2 linked regions of the Saccharomyces cerevisiae S288C genome follow. The protein of the gene in region 1 interacts with the protein of each later gene in a biochemical or structural test. Each region holds a gene or a part of one and is shown in the gene's direction. Other genes may lie near its edges.

Region 1 (3,623 bases):
GGATAATAATGTATTGCTAAACACCCTCAAGAAAGAAAATAATCATAACGAAATCATGGGTATACCTATGCAAATATACCAGGATGGGAAGGGGGTGCAATTTTACCACACGAGATATCAGAACGTATTTGACGAACGGGCGAGCAAGTATGGCAACTACACGGTGAATAATGATTACCCACAGCTTCCAGATACGATAAAGGAACATATCGACCAGCTTACCTTTAGCAATGTCGGAGAGGATGGTGGAGATGTTGGAAACTATTCTGAAGAAGACGATGATGGTGACGAAGAAAAGGAACTTGAAGATGTTTTTCGAAGTAACCGTGGGTTGGAATTTGTACGGATTAATAACTATTTTACTACCCACGATTTACAAAGTTTCAAAAGTTTTAGAAATTTCAATAGCAAGTACTGGATTTTTTATTCTAATCAAGCAGAGGACAAAAAATTACTGCTGTATGACTTTAACGGCCAACATTTGATTTTTATTAAGCAGCAATTTTACGGGCAGTTGAATTTACTGCTATCGGACGCAATAATATGTATGGACTGCAATTTTGGTTATAATTCAAACACCATTCAAATTTTAGTTGGATTTCAGAATGGAAAGTTGTTAAAGCTAAACTGCGACTTGAACGGAAACGTAAACAATCACTTGCTTTTGAAGGATCCTTCAACTTCCTCTCATCAAAGCCACCTATCTATATTAAATGTCTGGGCAGGTTTGTTGCCACATTTCGTTGTTTCTTTTAGTTTGAAAGATGGGCTGCTAATAACTTCTTTAGATCACCAACAAAGCAATGGAAGTTTTCAAAGTTTCCATACCAACATTGATTTGCCTGTAGATCTACGCACGACCACAAATGTCAAGTCCGTTTTAAATTTCCCTCAGTTTACTTTATACAAAGGAAATGATATGATTTTCCACTGCAAGAATCTATTAGGATCGGATGCTTCCACGCTAAACAAGGAAATAAACTTTATGCTTAAAATAGACGAAGACGTTCAAAAGATCGACTATCTTCTTAAAACGAATCACATTTTACTCGAAACCAACATGAGATATCTGTCCATTCCAACAAGAGACCCCATAGAGAATTCAAATTCTTCTCCACCCGTCTCAGACAGCGAGGTTTATCCAATATTTTACAAGACACAAGAACTTCATGTCCATGCTTCAGGAACAGGACGTCAGATAGCAAACAATGGGAAGTATATTTTTATAACCGAGCAACATCTCTACGGAACAGCGTTATCGGTATACAAGTACTCTATATCTTTCAAACGGTGGCTGTTCGTGGGCTACTCAGACATTAGGGCCAAATACGGTATAAGGAGTGTCAAAGATCTCTTTGTTGGTAACTGTCCCTCTGTAAATAGCCCAGTGCTGACAATTCTTACTGATGACAATAACATTCAAACAATTCTTCTTAAATAAAGGTTAAGGAAATGTAAATAAAAAAAATAACAGTGACATTAATTTGTATATATCTCAACTTCTTCACTTTAACCTGTCTGAGCTGTTTGGTTTTGAACTGGAAGCACGTTTCTCATTTTATTGAACGATACCAGAGCCATTCATTATTCGATTGACGGTAAGCGGTATTGTGCGAAAAGCAAAGGGAAAAAATAGAAAGAACAAAAAAAAGAAAGAAAAAAGCACCGTAAAAAAAAAAATCGTTTCGTGGGCCGAGATCGGTAAAGTGGCTTTCTTTTAGTCAGAATTGATTTTCTTTTGATTAAGGCAAAAACTGTGCAAATTAAACTGATGGACCTATACATAATAGTGAACACGACTCATTCAAAAAATTTGTTGTAGTGACCAGAAACTCTGGCGCAAATTAATCAAGAGAAAGCGACCCCCAAGAAATGAAAGCAAAGTCGATGAAGAGCATAATATCTGTGCCAATATCAGTGTCTAAAACAGGGAAAATGAAGTTAACAGCATCTCCCGATAATCTAGCATCTATGATGTCTAAAGACCAAAATAAACTTATTCATTTAGACCCAGTTCCGTCTTTTGAGGACAGGCACGAGATTAAACCGTGGCTACAGAAAATATTCTATCCTCAAGGAATAGATATAGTCATCGAAAGATCAGATAGTAGCAAAGTTACTTTTAAGTGTAGGTCAGTACGATCGAAAGTAGGGTTGAACCCTAAATCCAAAGGTTCCTCTTCAAGATCCCATGCATGTCCATTTAGAATTAGAGCAGCCTACTCTGTGCGGTTACAGAAGTGGAACGTGGTTGTTATGAATAACATACATTCACATGAGCTGAGATTTGATTTGATTACTAAAACGGATGACTATAAAAAGTTTAAGGAAAATCTTCGTCAGAAGAACGACGAAAAAGCCATCAAAACATTTGATGAATTAGAATATAAAGCAAGTCTAAACTTACCACTCGTCACACCAATTATTTCTTGTGACTGTGGGTTAACCAAGGAAATTGAAGCTTTCAATAACATTTTTCTCCCACTATCAAACCCCCCTTTGACGTCTAAAAAAAATTTGCTCAAAACAAATAAAAACTCCGTTTCTAAAATAAAATCCAGACAGATGGATAATTCGAAACCTAGGCCAAGGTTGAAAACGAAGTTGGATGCGGATCTACATGATACCGGATTTTTAGACAATTTCAAAACGCGGAATTCCTGTGTAAAGATAGAGAAAGAAGATTCTTTAACGAACTTAAACGAAATTGATTTTACGAACATGTTTTGCAACGACAATTTCATCCAAAATTACAACCAAGGCCTGATGGAACTTTTGACAGAACCTACACCAGGTCCTTCGTCCTCTTCTTGTATACTTCCTTCAACACCAACGAGGCCCTTGTCACAAAGCAAAATGGATATAGCCCTGTCAGAATCAACAACATCTTCACCAAATTTTATGGAAACAGACGCTCCTTATGGAGATGAGATCATTAAAGTTTCCAAAGATACCAAAAGCAACGCACCAACTGCTGATACAGATATTGCTACGAACTTAGGCAAAGAGAGAAACGAAAATTTTGGCATGTTAAACTACAACTACGAAGCGTTGCTTCATTTCAACGATGAGCATTTTAATGAATTAAATTCTATTGACCCAGCCTTAATATCAAAATATTAATTATTTAGTTTTCAACTCATTAAAACGGTATCACGTTTAAATATGTGACAAGATCTGATGGACATGAATAATGGTGATATCAGCACCATCGAGGGATTTTGGACCTTAGACTTTTTAAAGCTACGGAGGACTTAAAGCATGTCGATACAAATAAGATATATCATGGCTTCATGCGCTCAAAAGTTTTATTCTTCAAGTTTGTTGATTATAATATGGTTCACGTGCGCTTCATCTTTTCATAGGTAATGCACCGCAACATTCAATTATCTAAAAAACTTTCAGGCGTGCCGGTCCCCTAATTTTTGCACTGAGATCATGAGATCAGTAAGTAAAAGCTCATATAGGAAATAATCATATAGAAAAAAGCAGAGGAATGATATTCGAACATTTTCTATACATCACCCCTCCTATTTTTAGATGAATCTCTAAGATCTAAATGCCCTCAACTTAAATATGATATTGAATTAAAATGAATTGTAGTATAGAAGATATTTAGGGCA
Region 2 (3,016 bases), on another chromosome or scaffold:
TCAAGCTTAAGATCTTGTTATAGTTCTTTAGCAAATTCTTTTGGAAGGCCTCATTGGTTTTAGTCAAATCGTTCTGTAACTCCAATTGATAATCTTTAATCTGTGGAATATGAGAATCGCGAAACAATGGTAAGACTTCATCCATTTTCTATCGTATTGGTTTTTTTTAGGTTTTCTACCACAAGATTTGTTGTACGAATGTGTTATTTATTATTCACCGCCATGTTTCATTTTTCTTCAGCATAATGATGAACTGTAACAGAAAATAGGAAAAAAAAATTGTCATCTGAGAAATTGCTTTGGATGACCAGATCCAAAACAGACATAAGCATTCGTATAATTGGTACATAGGTATATATCAAATAAAAATATGCATTATTCTAAAAAAAAAAAAAAAAAAAAAAAAAAAAAAATCAAAAATGTCTCTCTAAAGGGTGATTATAAAAAACTTGGTTTGGGCAAGTTTTTAGCCTCCCTTGGACCATTAGTGGCGAAAGTGGAGCCTGCATAAGAGTGACTGAGTTTTTTGGCACTGCCATTACAACCCATTGGTATTATCCCTTGAGAGCCATGCGGGGATTGTTTCTGGTTCAGAAGCAGATTCTTTAGGTTCTGACTCAGTAAACGAGTATCATCTTTGTTGTTCTGTCGTGGCGTTTCTTTATTATTCTGTCTGTTTTTTTTACCTAAAGTAGTTGTAGAGGAAGGGGAAGAAGGTGGAGAGTGCTTCTTTTGATTAAATGATGGTTTCTTGTTGGAAGAATGGCCGAAGTTAGGTTTCTGACCGTTAGGAAGAGTTTGAGGAGGTGGTATATCTGTGATATAGTTGTTATTATTGGCGTTCTTAGCAGCATTTCCCCTCGCACGATTATTTCTAGTTTTTTGTTTGATTAGATTATTTGTCTTGTTCCTGCCAGCCGATGGCAACAGCCTGGAGCTGTTGAAATACATGGTATCCGTCGACATGCCTTGTAATATTTGTGTGAGTATATTTGTGTGCTAAGTGTAATTACGTTACGCTTTGCTGAGTACTTCGTCTTCAATACAGAGTATGTTATTGTCCTTGTTATTTGAAGACTTTTACCTTTTCTATCCGTATTTCTCTATCCGATACAACAACATCATTTTACACGAACAGCCGGATGATAAAACTGTAGTACGTATGGTATTTGTGATATCCTATATAGCCATATAATTACTAGCAGCTATGCAACAGTCAAAGGATCGCAATCCATTTTGCTTACGACTACTTCGTGGCCCTCATCTTGCAACAAGCCCTTCATAACGTCTTGAAGGAATCCACGCTCAGTATTTGAGTGGTTGCAAACAATAACGGTCTTGCCCATTTCTTTCCACTTCAGTACTTCATGATGTGACATTTCTCCCGTATAGTAAAGGTCTACGTCCTCTTTTAGTTGCTTAAACACGCCAGAACCGCTCCCGGCACAGACAGCGACTTTTTTGATTTTGAGTTGATTCCATGCGGATGGAGCAGCAAGAGATGCTACTTGTACATAGGGAACCCGTAAAACACGCTTGACATTTTTGACAATTTGCTCCAAAGAGATGTCTTTATTGAATTCTACGAATCTACCGTAGCCAATCAAGTCGTCAGTTTCGCCACTTACAGTTTCCAAGGCATAAGACTTTGCGACGTTCTCTCCGTTGTTCAAACCCCTAACCAACCAGTCATTTACACCGCCACGAGCGGCATCTACGGCAGTGTGAGGGCAGTATACGGATATTCCGTACTGGATTAGCTTTATAGCTGTCTCGTGTTGTGGGTTTGTATGTGGGCTTAATCTGTTCCAGCTTGGGAAAATAAAAGGATGGTAAGCAACAATTACGTTGCAGTTAGCATCCACAGCTTCTTGAGCAACTGACTTCGTGAGGTCTACAGTCAAAAGGACCTTTGTTTTAGCGTTTGCATCGGCAGTGGTGACTTGTGCAGTGGAACAATCGATGAGAAGACCCGTATTGTCCCAGCTCTTGTCTGCGTACTTTTGAGGGTAGAACTTGGTAATGCTACGCACAAGTTTGTCCAATTGTGCTCTAGTAATAGCTCTGCTCATTGCGTTTCGGTGGACTCTTGTTCTGTTTCCTTCCGACTGTGTATTGGAATAAGTTTTTCGGTGTTATATATATACATATATATGACAGGTGAAAGAATTGAAAAGGTGAAAATAAATGACGAATTTGCAAAATCACATTTCCTAACAACTCAGTGGAGAGAAACAAAGCGCCAACGACACTATAAGATGCCCGTTACTGAACAGGGACTCCGCGAGAGGATAGAATCAGCCATACCGCAAGTTTACCATATCATTGTGACGGATCTTTCGTACGGTTGTGGTCAGTCGTTTGATATTGTGGTGGTCAGCGACTTCTTTCAAGGTAAAAGCAAACTAATGAGGAGTCGTGCAGTGAACAAGGCTGTGAAAGAAGAGCTGCAGGAGATTCATGCCTTTAGCTGCAAGTGCTACACTGAGGAGGAATGGTCTAAGATTGTGGTATGAAAAGGATGATATTGTTCTATTATTAAGTTTCGAAAGGAGACGGCATTGAATCTTTTTGGCATAGACGATTTTGCTTTCTTACGTTATTTACATCGGAGAGTATGTATTTGTGTAGTTATGTACTTAGATATGTAACTTAATTTAATGATATGGTGGGGGGCTATCCTCCATGCCCCATTTCCAGTTATTTGAAGGTTCTTGCGAGTTCAAACCTATGAAGTAAAACGGTTTCTTTTTAGATGTATCTTTCTTGGAGTCCAAATTTAGCGATATTTTTTCTGGTATAACGTATTTATCCCTTATCGATACTGTTGTTTTCAAATATGGGGGAGATTGTTCTTCAAGCTCGGGTATCGGTGTTTGGACCGGTGTGGACGTAACTGTTTCAATAGCAGTACTATCATCAACAGCCTGTTCTCCTTGTGATTGTAGGTTCGATGGTGTGCGGGTCTTTTTGCATTTGATCTTTCTTCTCCTTGGTTTGGCATTGTCGTCGTTGC

What was found.
Region 2: the proteins of AFT2 (region 1) and BOL2 form a complex in vitro, tested with the Saccharomyces cerevisiae proteins (2 studies listed by BioGRID).

Annotation. Positions count from the first base shown.
Region 1 is NC_001148.4:167,588-171,210, reverse strand, and holds AFT2 (Aft2p), read left to right. Parts: upstream 1-1,872; coding exon 1,873-3,123; downstream 3,124-3,623. Other genes in the region: YIG1 (Yig1p), read left to right, coding at 56-1,441. UniProt on the Saccharomyces cerevisiae protein: Transcription factor required for iron homeostasis and resistance to oxidative stress. With AFT1, activates the gene expression in response to low-iron conditions, also called iron regulon.
Region 2 is NC_001139.9:80,221-83,236, forward strand, and holds BOL2 (Bol2p), read left to right. Parts: upstream 1-2,153; coding exon 2,154-2,516; downstream 2,517-3,016. Other genes in the region: Golgi transport complex subunit COG1, read right to left, coding at 1-145; EDC1 (Edc1p), read right to left, coding at 439-966; NIF3 (uncharacterized protein), read right to left, coding at 1,206-2,072; ERMES complex subunit MDM34, read right to left, coding at 2,658-3,016. UniProt on the Saccharomyces cerevisiae protein: Involved in the regulation of the iron regulon in response to decreased mitochondrial iron-sulfur cluster synthesis. May be involved in mitochondrial organization and biogenesis.